Linked DNA regions of Arabidopsis thaliana. The protein of the gene in region 2 interacts with the protein of the main gene of each other region in a pairwise test. Each region holds a gene or a part of one and is shown on either strand. Other genes may lie near its edges.

The links.
Region 1: the proteins of AT3G12390 (region 2) and MLP329 interact in a two-hybrid assay, tested with the Arabidopsis thaliana proteins (one large-scale study listed by BioGRID).

The regions. Positions count from the first base shown.
Region 1 is NC_003071.7:231,421-248,130, forward strand, and holds MLP329 (MLP-like protein 329), read left to right. Parts: upstream 1-8,248; 5' UTR 8,249-8,394; coding exon 8,395-8,581; intron 8,582-8,660; coding exon 8,661-8,929; 3' UTR 8,930-9,267; downstream 9,268-16,710. Other genes in the region: AT2G01510 (Tetratricopeptide repeat (TPR)-like superfamily protein), read right to left, coding at 1-1,086; MLP328 (MLP-like protein 328), read left to right, coding at 4,572-4,758, 5,193-5,461; AT2G01540 (Calcium-dependent lipid-binding (CaLB domain) family protein), read right to left, coding at 10,877-11,209, 11,313-11,408, 11,700-11,813.
Region 2 is NC_003074.8:3,940,468-3,944,309, forward strand, and holds AT3G12390 (Nascent polypeptide-associated complex (NAC), alpha subunit family protein), read left to right. Parts: upstream 1-1,789; 5' UTR 1,790-1,876; coding exon 1,877-1,933; intron 1,934-2,190; coding exon 2,191-2,275; intron 2,276-2,556; coding exon 2,557-2,687; intron 2,688-2,789; coding exon 2,790-3,128; 3' UTR 3,129-3,342; downstream 3,343-3,842. Other genes in the region: ARP5 (actin-related protein 5), read right to left, coding at 1-72, 201-303, 406-450, 632-774, 1,011-1,081, 1,218-1,318; ELC (Ubiquitin-conjugating enzyme/RWD-like protein), read right to left, coding at 3,611-3,753. UniProt on the Arabidopsis thaliana protein: May promote appropriate targeting of ribosome-nascent polypeptide complexes.

The DNA.
Region 1 (16,710 bases), on a different chromosome or scaffold from region 2:
AGAGCGTCCCAATAGATCAACCATACATGCATAATGCTCTTTTCTAGGCTCCAGATTCTTATCATTCGACTGAACCATGAGACTGAAATACCTTTTTCCTTCATTCACTAGTCCAGCGTGGCTACAAGCAGATAATACCCCGAGAAATGTCACGTAGTTAGGTCTAAGTCCCTCATTCTGCATCGTAGTGAACAATGTCAAAGCTTCTCTGCTATCTCCATTCATTGCATATCCTACAATCATTGTGCTCCATGAAACCACATTCCTCTGTTTCATTTCCTCGAATAATACCCTGGCAGCTTCAGTGTTACCACACTTTAAGTGCATATCAAGCCTTGCATTTTCGACTATTATGTTACAATCAATCTCTTCTTTCCTCGCACGATCATAAATTTCTTCTCCAATCTCCAAAGAGCCTAGCTGACCACAAGCAGAAAGCATACTCACGACAGTAAACGAATCAAACTGAACTGCATCCGCGCACATTTTGTTGAAATACTCAAGAGCTATAGCGGAGTTCCCCGTTTGAACACAAACCGCAAGAAACGCATTCCAAGCCACTAAATCTTTGACTTGCATTGACTCAAACAAAAACTCAGCCGAACTCAATTCACCAAACTTCATGTACATCATTACCAACTCAGTTGCAACAATCCCAAGACACCCAAAACCATATTTCACCACATGGGCATGAAGAGCAAACCCACAGGAAAAATCCCCAAGCTGAGAGATCGCTTTCACCACAAACGGGTAAGTAAATTCATCAGGACGGACACCAAGATCACGCATTTTCTTATAAAGTAGGAGACTTTCAAAAGGGAGCTGGTTTCTAACGTACCCTTTGAAAAGAGTGTTCCAAAGGAAGATCCTCGGCTTGTGCATTTCGTCGAACACCTGGCGTGCGTAACACATGTCACCAATAACTACAAGATTCTCTAACAGCTGAGTTAAAAGACTGTTCTTTTCAGAGAAACCTGTCCTTAGTACAATCGCATGGATCTTCTTAAGCTGCTTCGGCTTTGAAGAACTTGCTCGTAAGAGCTCGGAGAGCATTTGTTTTGTTAATGGCGTTTGTTTCGCAAGCATCTCTTCCGTCCTTCCTCCTTACTTTCAAGTGTCTTAAAATGTAATATACTCGTCTGATTTTTACAAAGCCCAATTTCTACAATAAAAGGCCTAATTAAGTAAGCCCAAATTAGATATATTACAACAACTATGGGCCTAAAGACCCAATGACCCAAAATCGTGAATTAGCTCGACGCCGACTGGATGTTCGGAAAAGGTTTAATACCTATCTAATTAATTGGATTTTTGATTTCTGTATTAATGTCTTTTTTTTATAAGTATTATTAGTGTTGCAATAAAATTAGTATGTTAAAATATATATTTTAATCCAGCCCTATATTCATCTATTTACTGTAATTTTTGTATTCATCTATATTTTAATATGTATGAATATATTTATAAATTCCATTAATTTCTTAAGAAAATAGTAGGTCCAATATCATGCCTTAAAGAATCTTAAAAATAGTAGAACCACAAAATAATGGTACAAAAAAATGATTTCTTTTGTTTTGTTTTGTGGTTCTACGACCATTTTTGCAAAATGTAAATAATTTTCAGTTGTGTGTATATTATATATCTAATTGCAGCTTCATTGTAAAATGTAAATAATCTTCGATTAATTTTATACTTTTATTTTTTTGGGACGGTTTTTGTGAACCAAAAATATTGTTTAGGTCTTGAACACTTTCATAGACTACATATAATCCATCAAGACTGGAGACCGGAGAACGTGATGATTATGTATGATAGGAAGACTGTAAATGAAAAAATAGATGACATGGACATTGCTAAGATTGAACATGGACATTGCTAAGATTGAACATGCACCATTCTTGAGTCACCTTGCCAGAGGTTGTTATGTTTCTTATACCTTATATTGATTTGATAAACTAAATGATATGCCGTAATTGTCAACACGTGATTGAGTTTTCAAACAATCTTTAAGAATGCATGTGTAAAAATTGTAGGTGAGCGGAGTCTGGGTCTCCAACCACTAGAGCAATTTGACGGCAAAAAGGAAACCACTGCACCTGATTCTCGGTAATATAATCTCCAATCTCTTTTCAATTTTTATTCCGCTGATTATTCGCTAAAATGTATATACTCCTTATTTGTTGTCTGATCGTTAATGAAGTGCTTCTTCACCCCTTTTTTGACCTTACAACAGTTATTGGAGATGCAAAGTAGAATGTAAAGCTAGATCGTAATTTCTTAGAACATAGCGACAAAAAACAGTGTAAAGAACTTGAACGCTCCAAATAATAGCTACATATATTTGATAAAAGATTACAAGTATGACAATGTGATTGATTTGTTAAGAATTATTCCCAACATTGTGCATCACTTTGGTTGACTCCCGAAAAACATAAAAGTATGTTATTTCAACTCTAATTATTTGTCCATATCTAGAACTAGATCGGAACTTTCTACACAAAAAAAAAAGAACTAGACGTGAAATAATGAAACAATTCAATGAGACCTTATTAGTGTTGTAATAAAATTTAGTATTATTACTTATTAGTGTTGTAATAAAATTAGTATGTTAAAATTTATATTTTAATATAGCCCTATATTCATTTATTCACTATGGTTATTTATCTATATTTTGATATATGTGAATATTTGTGGGTCCAATGTCCTCTTAAAGGCATGTTCTTTGATTGCTGGTTTGATTATAAAATCATTTTTCTTGTACCATTTTTATTTTGTTTTGTGATTTTTCTTCCACTTTTGCAAAATGTAAATAATCTTCAGCTATGTATATATTATTAGCTAATTTGGTCATATAAACGTAGCTTAGTCTATAGTAAATTAATCATCTACATATGACTTATACATGCATAAAGTGAGTATAAATGTATGTTTACATGCGTAAATCAGAAGAACCTAAACATATTTCATTTAGTACTACATGTTATTGATTTTTCTACCTAGACATGGACGTTGAACCCCATCAACATATTAAATTCATTGTCTGATATTTTCTCAGAACATATATACTTTTATTGTTTTTCTGCCGATGTGGACAACAAAAGCATGGAATACGTTCGACCAATAAATCTTCGTCTCTTATTTGATTAATGTGAGTGTATCACCAAAACTTGAATTATTTGCCATTTATTTTTATATCCGACCGTGGACTATAATTTCTTTTTATTATTTGGTTATATATTGTCTCCGTTTTTGGTTTAAACGTCGATTCAATTTTGATTGACATTTGAATCGAAGCCAAATCACGAAAACACACATTCGAGAAAGCTTAGAACTGAAATGAAAGAGTGCAAAAAAGTTACACCAATATAAAGTTGTTGAAATTTCGGAATCTTGTAAGATTAAAAGATTGTTAGTAGAAAAAACTCAACCTCCCAATCAAAAATTACAAAAATAGTAAAATATTCATCCACAAATTTCATTTTTTTAAAAAGAGAACATTCACACACACTTCTAGATTGATCAAAGATAAAACACTTATATAAGTTCGACTAAACCTAAAGATATTATCCTCATTAATTAGTCACAACTTCCCCAACCAATTTCTTAAGTCAAGTAATTCCTTTGCTCCGGTGGAGGCATTCTCAATGTTTAAGGAATTAGTGGCGGGACCAAGAAAAATCTTATCAAAGTCAAACAATAAAATGGAGACAAAATTAAGTGCAAACCTTAAACTTGAACGGGTCATACACAACCAAATCTGCCAAAAAAAAAAGTATTTTATTCAATGAAAAAAACATATATTCTATAAAATTTGAAGGCATCATTTTCAGTTTTTTCACCCTCTTCTCATAACGTAGGTCCCGACCATATTTGAGATTTTATCCATCATAATGAAAAATGAACTAAACGGCTCCCTTTCAACACCACATTACCGACACCCAATCAGCTTTAAAACTCAATTCTATGGTTCATTTATTTTGAATCTAACCATATTATTAAGATGTGGTTGGCTTACACAATCAATAGTTATGTACTATACCAAATAACTTATTGACCAATCCTATAAAGAATCGTTTCAAAACACTTTTAGAAAGATGCTTTACTTTCTAAAACGATCGTTTTCAGTCAGGTTTTCTATCGGTTCACCTATTTTCTCTTTTGTAGAAAGGCGATCGTGATTGTTACCGGCCTCACTAAATTATGGTTTATATATTATAATTATCTATGGATTGATTATGATTTCCTAGGCATGTACGTACGTAATATTTTTTTTGTGCGACGTTTCAGTGAAAGTGTAGTTGATAGTGAATGTTTCGAGTTCAAGTTATAAATCATATCAATAGTAATCCAAATCTTTTTTTTTGTGATACGAACTTGGTAAACGTGAATCACATTTTGTAATAATGCAAGATGACAGAATCGTGGTAAGAAAAAGTAACTAATGTAACTTATTTTTACGTTTTAACCGTTATATTCTCTATATAAACGAAGGAGAAATGAAAGTATTCATCAAGTAAAGAAACAAACAAACAAACAAAAAACACACTTCACTCGCTACACAAGGAAGAGAGATGGCGACGTCAGGAACATATGTGACGGAGGTTCCATTGAAAGGATCGGCTGAGAAACACTACAAGCGGTGGAGGAGTGAGAACCACCTCTTCCCCGACGCCATCGGCCACCACATCCAAGGTGTCACCATCCACGACGGTGAATGGGACTCCCATGGAGCCATCAAGATTTGGAACTACACATGCGGTAAAAATATACACTTATTTTAGTTATATAACTCACGTCTGAAAACTAGAGCTTGGAATAATACTCGAGGTTAATCACATAAAAATGAATATATAGTTGTACGACTTTGTCACAAGAATACAGAGAATCCATTTTTCAAAAGGTTTCACTGCATATATGTAAACTCATATCTCTCTAAATTTGATTCACTTTATTAATTTATGAACCCGACAAATTTATTCAGAAAGCTTCTCCAAAAGTAGATCTGCGGATTTTTTCGAAAGGAATTACAAGTAACAACTACACGTGATGGAATAATCTCTTTACCTTAAAATTTAGTTGAGTGTTACATATATTATATATATAGTTCCAACATATATATGCACTTTAGTACAGAAAAAAAAAACATATATATGCATGTTGCTAACTTATAAATGGAACACATATATGAAAAGATGGGAAACCGGAGGTGTTCAAGGAGAGGAGAGAGATAGACGATGAGAATATGGCGGTAACGTTCAGAGGACTCGAAGGTCACGTGATGGAGCAGCTTAAAGTGTATGACGTCATCTTTCAGTTCATTCAAAAGTCACCTGATGATATCATCTGTAAGATCACTATGATCTGGGAGAAGCAAAACGATGACATGCCTGAGCCCAGCAACTACATGAAGTTCGTCAAGAGCCTCGCTGCTGACATGGATGATCACGTTCTCAAAGCCTAAATATCCCTTTCACATCAACCCATCATCACCTAATATCATGATCATCATCACCCTCATACGTACATTGCTCCTTTTGTGTGTGTGTGTGTGTATCGTTTTTATGGTGTTTTCAATATAATAAATGGGGGTTTACATGTATGGTTTCATCTACTATAATATGCTTTGATGTTGTTTATTATGGTTGAGGTTTCATGTATGCTCATCTACGCATGTATCCTTGTTAATTAATGATTTTCAAGAGTTATCAATCAATACTGCCCTTTTTTAAAGTGTTGCACTACGTATGTATCAGCTTCCACAAGCTCACATTGTATACAGCATTTGTGGTTGTATTATTCATCATTTTGTACGTTCAATTATGGTTATTATTCATACACAGTATTCATTATATTTATAGTGGTTGTATAGTATATTTAGTTGCTGTTGCTGTCTTTGTATGTTCATTTAGTGTATAGTAATTAATGCTGACTTTATAAGTTCATATAGTGGTTGTAACATTTATCATTTCTATGAGTATATATTATTACTCATGTCCTCCGAAATTGGACAACATTTAAACGATACAAGCAAGGAAGACAATAAAAATACAAAAATATTTCCTTCGAAACTCTAGTAAAGAAAGCATATAATGAAACCAGCATTTAGCAAAGATGAGGGGTCTATGTGGGATGGGGGTCTTGTTGGTTCAATGATGTAAAAAATCATTACGATTTGTTTTAAGGCTATTGTTTTTAATGGGTTGATATATGAATGACGAGGACAATGGTCATGTATATGGATTTTGTCAAACCTACTAATTAGAATTGTGTTGTATGATAAGAACTTGGAAAACGTGAATTATGTATGGTATACAGCACAATCGCAAGTATCAGTAAATATCTATTAATCTAACATATAAATTTTGAGTTTATATGATTCTATATATCTTTGTAAATAAATAATGTTTATGCTGTGCTTGACAAAAAAAATGATTATGTGTACGTACGTATGCTAAGAGATGATCAAAATTATAACTAGAGACATTATTAGAGCAAAGTACCAGATAAGACTTTTAAAGATATTTGGAATATTATATGAAATATGAAAGTATCAGTTTAATAAATACTAAATGTAGAAAAATTACAATCGTGACAGTTAGCTTAACTCAAACTTTATACTAAAAACTATCTATACTATTAATTGGGAATCATCGGAAAATTTACAACCTTTTGAAACCCGCACGTATGTGCGGGTCAGGATCTAGTGATTCTTTAAATTTGGAAACTCGAATATCTCAAACGATATTAATTATTCAGGATATTGATATTACATGGATGGATCATGGAAATAAAGCGACAAATTGTTTGGAGCAGAATGGTACTATACATCATCAAATGGAGAGACGTCAACCATGAGAACTGCAAATCTTTAAGAAGTCTATCCTCACTACATGCAGAAGTGGAAGCGCTTCTCTGATGATGAGGTGTATGATTGGCGCTAACAATCAAGACGTAGCTTTTCTAATAGACTATTCAGATCAGGTGAAGATGGTGTCTTTCCTAACCGAATGACCAGCCTTCTCAGTGTATTTGGAGGATTTGAAAAACGACAATGAAGAATTTAAAAGTTTTCTTTTATCTTTAAATTTTAGTACAAATGTTAAAGCGGATAATTTGGCACGAAAAGTTCTATACCAAATCACATCATATCACATATGCAAACAACATTCTTCGGGAATGGATCTTTAATTTGAGTTCTAACTAATATCGGTTGACAAAAGAAAAAAGTTTAGAAATAATATTATCTCATTTAAACTAGATACATAAATGAAACAACAACACACCCATACACACAAAAAGCGACTCTATTTTGTTAAATAGATGAAGAGCCTCCTCTAGAAGATGAAGTGATATCTCTAGAACCAGCACTTTCAACCTAGCCACATAGTGATGGATTGATTAAGGACAACACCTCAGAAAAAGACTTGTCTATGCCATGTATACTTTCGCTAAGAAGTAAGAAGGGAGTGATTTGGCGCCAGGTAATTGCAATGTTTGAAGCGGTCTTTTTGGGGGTCTAGCTACTTCATCCTTCCAACTGTAGCTATCTTGAGTCTCAGGGAAGATCATAACCATTGTGAGCTTGTAGAAAAAGGCTTCTACATTGTCACTGTGGGCACTCGTGAACTGCCAGCCAATTTTAGAGGTCTATATAGAATCTTTTTTATCAAGAAAATGTGTATAACATATAAGAGCACCCTCAATAGTGTATCTTAGCAAAATCTTAGGATTAAAAGCAATTAAAATAAAGCAAACCAACAATCCAAAGCTAAGAAGTGTATTTTTCTTTAGATGTTTTTCTTAAGTTAAGATGTTTTTCTTAAGTTAAGATGTTTATATGTGTTATTTGATGATTGGTTTAAAAAATGAACAAAAATAGAAGATATTGTTTTAGAAAAAATGAACAAAATAGAAGATATTGTTTTAAAAATATCAATGAAAGTCACAGCTGGCAGGAAATCTACGGTATCGTTATCTGGTGGACTTTTCGGCATTCAAGGAACAATACATCATATCAACAAACAATAATTATGGTTTGTTTAAGGTTTAAATTAAAATTGATGTATGCATTTGTCTACTCTAATCCTTATCATTGATTCATTATATGCTTCTTTTTTTGTTGGTAAAACCATTATATGCATTTTGTCAAACCTATCCTTATCTTAATAACAAACAAAATACATTGTATGATAAGAACTTGGACAACGTGAAATATGACTCATTCTAAATATATTAGCAGTAGATATCAAATAAGTATAAAACCCGGCTCATCTATTTTACGTCTAAACCGTTACACACTCTATATATAAACGAAGGAAGATCACACGTGAAAATAGTCATCAACCAAAGTAAGAAGCGCACACACACAACATATTTCTTTCACTACCCAAAGAGATGGCGACATCGGGAACATATGTGACGGAGGTTCCATTGAAAGGATCGGCGGATAAACACTACAAGCGGTGGAGAGATGAGAACCACCTCTTCCCCGATGCCATCGGCCACCACATCCAAGGTGTCACTGTCCACGACGGTGAATGGGACTCTCATGAAGCCATCAAGATTTGGAACTATACATGCGGTAAAAATACATTTATATGGAATCCAAAGAATGGTGCTAACTTAATGAATGAAACAAATATGTACGCATATATGTGCAGATGGGAAACCGGAAGTGTTCAAGGAAAGGAAAGAGATAGACGATGAGAATATGGTGATAACGTTCAGAGGACTAGAAGGTCACGTCATGGAGCAGCTTAAAGTGTATGATCTCATATATCAGTTCAGCCAAAAGTCTCCCGATGATATCGTATGCAAGATCACAATGATTTGGGAGAAGCGAACCGATGATTCGCCTGAGCCTAGCAACTACATGAAGTTCCTCAAAAGCGTTGTTGCTGACATGGACGAGCATGTTCTCAAAGCCTAAATCCCTTTCGAACCATCGTCATCACCTATCATCATCATCATCATCATCATCATACATCTCCCTTTGTGTGTGTACTTGTATGGGTGTTTGAATCTTTCATTTGCGTAGTACAAAATCATTTTTAAATAAATTATGGTTTGAGTATACAGATGTTACAATGGGCCTGGGCTAAGCAGATATCTCAAATTATCCAAATGTTTTTCTTGATCATGCCATTGAAATGGTCATCAAGAAAACACACTTAATTGCTTATACATATATCGAAATAACTACAAAATTACAAATCATTCACAATAGAAAGGATAAAATAGTTCACTAAGTGACAAAAAATTTAAACGTCAGTCATACCCAAAATTTAGTCGTAACCGTATTTCAGAGAGTACCCGAACCGTTTTCAAAAAAGAGTAAATAATATTGCATATGAAAAAATTATAACATATTTTTATCTTATTAAAAGCAATAAAAAAAGCTCGATGATACGTAAAGTTTTGCGTCTATCTTATTATATAAAGTATGGTTTTCAAAGTTGCTAATTCATAGAATTTTGCCACGTGTCAAGTCAAACAATCAGATGTTTATATGTGTCATTCCAAATTTTACTTTTTTATTCTCTAAAAAAATAAAAAATCTTAAAAAGTAAACAAATTTACATATACTAATTTATATGTCTATATATTTATAAACAATTTACATTTATTCAACAAAAGGAAAATTAACAAATTTGTCTTTAACTCATGTAATCATAAGTGAAAAATAAAACGATCAGATGTTTACATGTGTCATTCCAAATTTTACTTTTTTATTCTCTAAAAAAATAGAAAATCTTAAAAAGTAAACAAATTTACATATACTAATTTATATGTCTATATATTTATAAACAATTTACATTTATTCAACAAAAAGAAAATTAACAAATTTGTCTTTAACTCATGTAATCATAAGTGAAAAATAAAACATTTTGAGAAAAATAGCTTAGCTTATAGGATTTAACTTTTCATTTATTTTTATTTATTAATTTTAACTCATTTAATATTAATTTGCATGATGTAAAATTAACTTACAAGATTACGACATATATACAAAATATATTTTCAACAATGTTTGGTTTCTAAATATTTTTGTGGATTTCTTTTTTTATTATTAATTATTAGCCCTAAGCGTTTGGGTATTCGGATCGGGTATTTCGGGTTTGGATTTTTGGGTTTAGAAGTTTAGGACCCGTTAAGGTAATTTAAGATTTTAGGTCGGGTTCGGGTTCGAGTTTATTTATATATTGAAATATCAAATTTTGTGTGCAAATCTATTAAATTACTTGAAAATTTCAAAAATTCCCAAAACAACACGAGTAGTTTTGCTTGAATATATCTAAAAATACACAAAATAACTAAAATATCAAAAACATCCTAATATTTTCTATATATAAGTATAAATATAACTAATATATACTTATATTTGAGATATGTTTGAATACCTATTCGGGTTCGGGTTCAAGTTTTTCGGGTTTTGAAGTTTAGACCCGTTCGAGTATTTGAAAATTTTGGGTACACCCGCCTAAATAGGCGGGCCTTATCTAGTTCTTAAATATATTGTAGTTATTAAATAACCATAAAGCATATTTAACCGTAATCGTTGTAACCATAACTGTATTCAACTGTAATCTTAACCGATGGTTAATAAACACCGTGGTCATGCCTACGCCTACGTCATAGAAGAGAATGCAAATTGCAAAAGACAAAACAAAATCAAAACAGAAAGTGAGAAATCAAAAAGATATTCAAATGAAAACATACAAAAGAAAGTCTCAAATTTTCCAGCTTTTCTTCTTGATTATGCCATTGAAAATGGTCATCAAGAAAACATACTTGAGTTGCTTATACATATGGAAACAACAACAACAGATTGATACACAACAACAAAAAAAGAAAGAAAGAAAGAACAATAATAAGTTTAGGTAGAGGAAGAGCCTCCACCTTTGGAAGAGGAAGTGATACCTCTGCAACCAGCACCTTCATGCCATTCAAGCATGATCTCAATCTCGCCACATTCGACATTGTTAAGTCTAAGGATCAAGTCTTGTGTGATCTTACCATTGTTCCAAACAATGCTACTCTCATCAGATAAACAATTGTGCCTTGATGGTTGAACCCTTTTGATAGCACACCCATTAGGTAGCCTCAAAAGCTCCATCCCCATTTTCAAAGCCTCTAAGTATGGTTGAATGTCTATGTTCGCATCTCCCATTTTGTCATCTCCTGTGAACTTGTCCCAATCAAACACTGTCTGAACGATTTCAACAAAAAAACAACAATGTTATCCCCAAGAACAGAACAAAACAAGATTTGTCTTTTGTCTGAATCAAAAGAGAGAATCTTTTTAAGTTTACCAAGCGGATTGGGACATTAGGATCTTTGATAGCAACAGTCATTTCTTCATTCCATACTGGGTTACAATTTTTTTTCACCACACGTGTCTTCAATGTCTGAAAGATTTCATTTTTGGTTTTGTATTAGACAAAACAAAACAGAGGATTTGAAGAAAACCCAAAGCAGAGGAAATAAAACAGAGGATTTGAAGAAAACCCAAAGCAGAGGAAATAAAAACAGAGGATTTGATAAAAAAAACCAAAGCAGAGGAGATAAAACAGAGGATTTGAAGAAAACCCAAATCCTGAATCTATATGAACAATTCAGGAACAGAGAAGAATCGTTATTCGGAGACTTGATTCATATAAGGCAATTTGTTCTCTATCGATTTCAAGGAGAAATGGAACCTGATCGGCGACGTTGAGAACGATGTAAGGATCGCTGCTACGATGGTCGCGAATGGCGAGATTAATCCCTCTCTTGACGTGGATCGTGAGCAATCCAAGAGGCTTTTGATCCATTTGAGAAGAAAGACTTTTTGACTAGGTCCGGTGCTGGAGATGGTAAAGGAGGAAGAAGAAAATTTTAAGAAGAATTTGGAGATGATGCTGAAGATGAATTGGTGCTTGTAATCTCGTCCCCAACTATTCAACACGTTCTCGTTCCCAATTGCTCTTAATTTTTCTTTTATAAAAAAGTTTAGCGAATTATAGTATCATTTTTTCAAATGATTGGGTAACTTGTTGTTCTTAAAATTTATTTATTCACACTAATCAAAAATGATTAGGAGTTTAGGACACGAGACTAATCTAATAATCGACTCGAGAGATAAAACAATAGTCATGGACTGAACAAAAGAAATATCTCGTCACAATGGGCTCGACGACTCCCTTTATAGATAGGAGACTAATCTAATATGGGTCTACTTTTGAACGTCAGTGAAGTATTACTACCAACTTGTAATAAAATCACAATAATGGGCTTGAGTACTTGATTAACAGGCCCATTTAAAAGATTTTACGTTTAAGAATCTTTCAAATTTAACAAACAAAGAGATTATTGCATGGAGAGACGGTTTTGGTGCTTGTAATTTTTTTTCTTTTTTTTAATAAAATGTTAAATTATACTCAAAAGAAAAAATGTCGGTTGTACAACGAGTGCATCATGGTGTTTAAGAGACTAAGCGTAGAGCTAAACTTTACAAGTTAACTACTAGATTTTAACCAAAACTGAAAGCCTTGGTCATATCTTCTATCACCCATAAGTTTGATTGCTGAAAGTTGATCACGTATTTGCTTATCTATCCATCGAACAAGTTGAGCTGCTTGATTCGGGTTGCGCCCATGCTTCCTCCTATTGCGCTCACGCCATATTGCATAGACTGAAACTTGAAAGATATACCGTGCGATAAAACTTTCTACTCGATCTTTCCAGTTTTCTTGAATCTTTGTGAGTAGGTGTCGCCAATCCGTAGAGTAGCTTGACTTGTAGATGCTTTTTGCTGACATTTCCCAAACTTCTGAGCTAAAGCTGCAAGAGAAAAATAAATGATCTCTTGATTCAGTTGCATTTCTGCAGAGAAGACATGTCCCCTGCAAACCTCTGTTCCAAAGAAGCATTTTATCTCCTGTGGAGAGCCTATCATAAACTGCAAGCCAAACACAAAAAGAAAACTTCGGTGTTGAGTGAGTGAACCAGACCCCCTTGTGCCAAGGGACCTCGATGCCCATTGTTCTGGTATTGTTCCACGTTTCCTTCGTCGAGAAACAATGGCGGTAGTCATCATTTTTGCCTTTCCAAAGAGTAACGTCATCATTTCCATTTCTACGTTGTCGTGTGAGTTCAAGAGCCTCCTCCATCTGATTGAGAACATTATCCCTGTGTCGTCTTTGACGTCTACCATTCCATGCCTCCTCAAGAGTCATCTTTCTACTGATCCCCATATCTATTGTCCCTCTATCTCCAGCAATTTCAACCAGCCTGCCCAAGGTAGACCAGTCATCATACCAGAAAAAAGTGTTGCGGCCAGTGTTTACTTCTTTTTTGCAAAACTGCTTCGCCATATCCTTGAACTTGATAAGTTTTCACCACATCCATGAACCTTTGCTTGTCGATTCTTTGATAGACCAAAAACTTTCCGTGTTTAAAAGATAAGTCTCAACCCATTTTACCCACAAAGAATCTCCTCGAGAGAGTATCCTCCATATCAGCTTTAAACAACTCACATCATTCGCCTCCTTTATAGACCTTAAACCGAGTCCACCTTCTTTCTTCGGCTTACAAACATCGTCCCAAGCTACCTTAGCTTTGTGAGAATTTAAATCCGGACCAGACCAGAGGAAAGTAGAACATAACTTATCGATTTCTCTGATACATTTTCGCGGGAGCCGGAACGCAGCAAGCCAAAAGTTACAAATGCTCCATAGGACCGAGCTTATCAAGTTTAAGCGACCGGCGTAAGAAAGAAATCTAGCTGTCCATGACCCAATCTTCTTTTTAAGCTGTTCTATGAGAGGTAAGTAATCTGCAGCGGTTAGGCATTTGGTTACTAGAGGGAGTCCCAAATACCTCACCGGTAGAGTCCCTACATCAAAACTGAACCGGTCTTTGATCCATTGGTGAGACACTTCTGAAGTTCCCGCTAGATATATGGTTGTCTTCTCCATACTAATTTTTAAACCTGAACTTTTAGCAAAAACGTCAAAAACTTTCACAATACCCTCTATAGATCAAACTTTTCCGTCCGAAAGGATCATGAGATCATCAGCAAAGCTCAAGTGGGACAGACCAATACTTTTACACCGCGGGTGGTAGCCAATTTGCTTTGCTTCTGTTGCTTGATCAAGCATTTTTGATAGAACATCCATGCTTATAACAAATAGATAAGGGGAAAGAGAGCAACCCTGACGTAGACCTCTTGAACTTTGAAAATAGCCTGCCAATTCTCCATTGACTTGCACCGAAAAAGAAGCCGTAGTAACACAAAGCATAACCCAATGAACAAACTCCGGTGGAAAGTCCAAAGCCGACAAAACGTTTTTAAGAAATGACCACTGAACAGAATCAAAAGCCTTTGAAATGTCGATTTTAATAGCACATCGACCCGAAATTGTGTCCTTGTGATAGTCCTTTACTAACTCTGTGGCTAATAGCAGATTCTCAATTAGGAGCCGGTCTTTTACAAATGCAGATTGGTTTCCCGCGATGAAATTCGGGAGAACATGTTTCAATCTATTTGCAATGATTTTTGAGATGACTTTGTAAATGACGTTGCAGCACGATATCGGTCGATAGTCTTTCATTTCTTTCGCCTCCAGTTTCTTTGGGATGAGAGCTAGAATGGTAGTATTAACACCCTTTGGTAGAAAACCCTTTTCAAAAAACGATTTGACTGCCAAAACAAATTCCGCACCAATTATATCCCATGCCCGCTTGTAGAATTCAGAAGTGTAACCGTCTGGACCCGGAGATTTATCATTTGGCATTGAGAATAAGGCTCCCCTTATCTCTTTTGCTGAAACTGATGCAGTGAGCATATCCTTTTCCGCTGGGGAACAATGATAAGGCAATAGAGATGTTAATTTCTCCACTGTTATTCCCTCATAATCATTCGGGATTAGCTGAAGAAATTCTTGAAAAAACCTTTCAGTCTCGTTCTTGATATCATCTTTAGTTGTGGCAGTACTACCATCTTCCTTCTGAATTTCGCGAATAGAGTTTTGAGCTGCTCTAGCGGTTGCTGCGCGATGGAAAGTTTTGTTGTTTTTATCCCCAACCTTTAACCAATGAAGCTTTGATACCTGCTTAAGATACTTCTCTTCAATGCTAGCTATCCTGTCCCAACGAACATAAGCTTCCGATTCTATTTCCATGGCTCTTTGAGATGGATTTTGTGAATTACTCTGTTGCGCCTGACAAAGACTGAGATAGGCTTCTCTCGTCCTTTTCACCAAATTTCCCATTTTTTCCTTCGCCAAGCCTCGAAGTTTTGGTTTAAGAGCCTTGAGCTTCTTAGTGAACCGGAACAGGGACGACGTGGACATGTGTATAGGCTCTGTTTCTCTCCAAAAATTTTCCACCAAAGGTTTAAACTCCTCCATATCGGCCACAGCATTCACAAACTTAAAAGGCTTATTTCCTCTCACTTGTGCACCAGAGTTCATATTTAAATTGATACGACACCGTAAATGGTCAGAACACCCTCCCGCTTCAAAAACATTATAAGATTGTGGGTAGACCATCTTCCAAGCCTCATTCACCATAACTCTATCCAGTTTTTTCCAAATTGGGTCATTATCTCTCTTATTGCACCAAGTAAAAAGGGGCCCGTGAGATGCCAAGTCTGAGAATGAGCAGTAGTTCACCAAAGACTGAAAATCTCGCATACCGGAGGTAACTGCTGGGTGATCTTCCATTCGAGAGTGCTCATCCATATCCAAAATCTCATTAAAATCTCCAAAAATTATCCATGGTTTATCACGAATGATCGGAGAGTCCATATGGTCTCGAAGATCATTCCACAAAATCTTTCGTTCCTCTGCAAAGTTTGAAGCATATACAAAAGAGTAGAAAAATTCTTCTTCTTGGCTTTCTAGTTTCACCGAACAAGTTATCAACTGGTCACTCTTGTAAAACGGAGTAAACCTTACATTCTCCCTCCACACTACCCAAAGACGACCTCTTCTATTAAACTCATAGTTAGTTAGCATGGACCAATCCTTGAACAACTTAGAACCCAACCACTGTGAATTTTCCTCCTTAACTCTCGTCTCAATGAGACAACCAAACTGAAAATTCTGCTCGTCCACCCATTTCTGAATTACGGAATGTTTATTTGATTTGTTGAGGCCGCGAACATTCCAAAAGAAACCCGACATTAATGATGTTTTGGAGGGAGCCCTTTACTCTGATCTTTAGGATTATTCCTAGTAGAAGGGTTTGATAATACTTTATGTGCTGACTTTGATCCCCTAGGCAAAGAATGACGCAAAATCATCTCCTTCTTTGCTAGTCGATTCTGATTTTCTACCTTTTCCTGAGGCGGGTCTTGAGTTGAGTTTTGTGTTTCCTCCGCTTGTTTCTCAACACTATCCGCTGTTATGATGTCCTCTCCACTTTCATCCTTACCATTCAGAGCAGAGTAACTATTTGATAGAATAGAGACCTCCCCAAATTGTAAACCTTCTTGCTTTTTCGGTGGACTACGACCAAATTTAGGGGTAATCCATGACTCAGCTCCTTTCTCTTCTTCCTTACCATCTTCAGAGATTGGTATGATTGGTATATTCTCTGTCACACATTCTGCAGTCACAGAGGCTGCAGTCTGAGAATTAGACAAGACCTGACCCGTCTCTGTTTCTTCAACATGAATTGGGTCTGGATTTGGCGTGTCTCGAGAGCAGGTTTTTAAGGCAGAGA
Region 2 (3,842 bases):
CAATTCCATCTTTTTTACAAATTCCATGTAGTTGATTGTATTTGTAGCTGAAAGCAGCATCGACTCCAAATGCTGTGACGACATGAGAGTTAATGAATTAATGAAAACAATAAACAAAAGGTTCCATAATTACAGTATCAAACATTCAGTTCAAGAAGACGATCAAATTCAGAAACCAAAAAAATAACGCAGATTCATACCAACTGCAGGCACTCCATAAGTCTCAAATAGCAGTTCTGCCATTTTGCTACGAGATTGAACTGGGTTGCATGCACATTCAGTGATTAGGATTGGATGATCAATCTGTACTGCCATCAAATGACGTTAAATGACGAGACAAAATTCTGACAGGTAGTAAGATGAAACTCAAAATCAAGATGAAAACAAAAAAGTTCTAGGACGTACCCCTGATCCATTAGCACCCAAACGATCAAAGGCGTAGTCAAGAATCTAAAAAGCAGAAAAATCAATTAGACAAGTGGGTTCTTCAGTGATTGCATTATTTAATTAGCATAAACATCAAAGAACTTGGAATACAAAGAAATGATGAGAGCAAGAAATTCCTGGAACAGAAGACCTTACAAATATACAATACAATTCGTTATTGAATAAACGGGTATAGAATCCATACATATTCCATGATCTCAAACTGATAAACCACATTGCTGTCAAAAGGGGAACGTGGTCCAGAGCGAGTGCAATCAAAGTACTTCATCATGGAAGGATCCAGGTCGCCAACAATAGTAACAGTTTCACCTGTACTAGAGAGAAGAACTAACCATTACAACAACATTACAAACACACCTAGAAGATAATTTAGAAGCAGAGCAACTTTTAAGCAAAATAGGATAAAGCATAGTTATATATATCTAGAAATCGTAGCCAAAACTTCAAGCAACTCTGCTCTAGTACTTTGAAACATATCATTGGCTAAATTTGTTACTCTAGCAGCGAAACAAGCAATTAAGACACATACATAGAAGCGGGAAAATAGAGAAAAAAATAAAGACCTGTAGCTTTGTGGCGTGGTCTTTGCACGATATTGCGGAAAACAACACGAGGCTCAGTTTCTCCTGCCCACCTAAAAAAACGCAAGAGAATTTCAAAATTTAACACGATTTTTACGAATTGGGGAAGAGAATTACTAAATACCAAAAACCTCAAGTAAAAGTGAGTTAGCGATAAGAAGGAAATTAGGGTTTATGGAATAAAAGTACCCGATACGGAAGTAGGAAGCGCCATTATCGATAACAATGGGAATCGAAGATGGATATGTATTGTAATCACTCTGCCTACGTATCCTCGAAACGAACGCCATGGCTTTCTCTTCCTACTGCGGTGTTGATTTAGTCGCCGTCGTCAGTCATCGACTGATTTTGTAATAAGTAAATTCGGCCACCTAGTTCTCCGGTGAAAGAAAGAAGAAGACACAAATGGAGCTCCGTGACGTGGAAAAACATTATTAGGCCCAAAACCCTCTGACTTAAAAAAGACTTGATAATTGAATAAATAGTTTAATGTCGTTGACATAAACGTAAGCCGTCTTAGCTCAGTGGTAGAGCGCGTGGCTTTTAACCACGTGGCCGTGGGTTCGATCCCCACAGACGGCGTTTTCGTATTCCGACATAGGTTGTCTTTTTTGCTGCTTTTCTTTAACTGAAATATTCCGACCAATTTTTTCCAGCTGATAAGCCCAACGGACAATGTGTAATATTGCGATTTTATATAAAAGTTTTGGGCCTTTTGATTTTCCTTGCAATAATTAACACTCGGTCTTCTCCAACCTAACAATTATTCTAGGGTTTTAGAGTTTCCGCACGAATCACGAATCTCTCTCTCTTTCACACACTTCACACTTTCAATATACACTCTCATTATGACTACCGAAGAGAAAGAGATCCTCGCCGCCAAATTGGAAGAACAGAAGATCGATGTAATTGATTACTCTTTTATTCTTTACCTATCTATCATCTCTGTTTATTTGTTGTTATTTGTCTTTTAGTCTGGAAATCATTAGACTGAATTCAGAGTTTTTTAATCTGTTCCTGCCCAGATCTTTGCTTTTGTTTTGTTTTGTATATGCAAATATTGGACCTTATTATAAGACTTTAGATCTGAATTTACATGTAATTAACCTTTGTGGATTCTCTCATTTTCCCAATTAGTTCAATTATTGATGATTTGTTGTAGCTCGATAAGCCCGAAGTTGAGGACGATGATGATAACGAAGACGATGACTCTGATGACGATGATAAGGATGATGACGAGGCTGATGGTAAAAGCTTTCTACATTTCATTCATCAAATTACTGGAATAATTAGTATAGTTCCTAGTATTTCTGTTAGCTTACATCTGGGGCAGATTTGTTGATGCTCACGTGTATGTGTAGATATGTAGCAATGATAATTATATGGCCATAGCTTGAAAATTTAGTGAAAATGAATCCATCTTCTTTGTTTTCAAATAATCTTTGCGTTGACTTGTGTTGATAGACATGTTTGTGGAACTTAATGTTATCATCTATTTTATTCTTGTTGATTGGTGATTGGAAAACAGGACTAGATGGAGAGGCAGGAGGTAAGTCAAAACAAAGCAGAAGTGAGAAGAAGAGTCGCAAAGCCATGCTCAAGCTTGGCATGAAACCCATCACTGGTGTTAGCCGAGTCACCGTCAAAAAGAGCAAGAATGTTTGTGTTTTCTCTTTAATATTCAGTCAATCTTAATTTCTTTTATTCACACATCAGGCTTTAATATTGATCTGTTTTGGGGACATTTGCTTTGGAACACAGATCTTGTTTGTCATATCAAAGCCTGATGTGTTCAAGAGTCCAGCATCAGACACATATGTGATCTTTGGAGAGGCGAAGATCGAGGATTTGAGCTCTCAGATCCAGTCGCAAGCAGCAGAGCAATTCAAGGCACCAGATCTCAGCAATGTGATCTCAAAGGGTGAGTCATCGAGCGCTGCAGTGGTTCAGGATGATGAGGAGGTTGACGAGGAAGGTGTTGAGCCAAAGGACATTGAGTTGGTGATGACTCAAGCAGGAGTGTCTAGGCCAAATGCTGTGAAGGCTCTCAAGGCTGCAGATGGAGATATTGTCTCTGCCATCATGGAGCTTACCACCTAAACCAAAGTCTTTTCTACTTAGATGTGGTTTAACCTGAGTTATGTGCCAGAGATTGTCCAAAGAATTCGGAAATTTTTGGTTTCAATGTTTTTCATGAAGTGATTTTCGATGTTGTATCAGTATAAACCTCATAAGTTTTTGATTTTCAGTTTGATTTTATATTGAATATCAAGTCCAAGTGTTTACCATTATAGACTTGTAGTTATAATTTGTCAAGTATCAGTCTGTTTAATGAACCGAACCCAAAGGATATGGACACCCCTTCACTCCAACCAATACGAGGTATCAACTGAGGTTAATCGATACATGCAGTACAATGTACAAAGTGCTACAAGTGGAGGTTCATAGACTAGAAAAGTATTCAACAGGACCTGATTCTAAGAGAAATTGTTATAAAGCCGATGTTTATTACCTAACTCCTCAAGGAAGGAGGCTAGGGAGTTGCAAGGAAGGAGCTGGTTTTATCCAAGACTACGAAAGATTCAAAGGCACACTGATGAAGCAAAACAAGGCGTAAGGATGTTGCAGTTGCTGATAAGAAGACTTGACAAGGTTTCATCATTGATGGTGGAGCTAATGGGTTCAATTCGACAAGGTTTTAGTTTCCTTTTGCATGGTGAATAAACTAAAGCAACATTTTTTTAATGGAGAAGAAAGAAGAGTCATCAAAACTGTTCCAATATCCAAAACAAAGATACTAACATTCTCAAACCA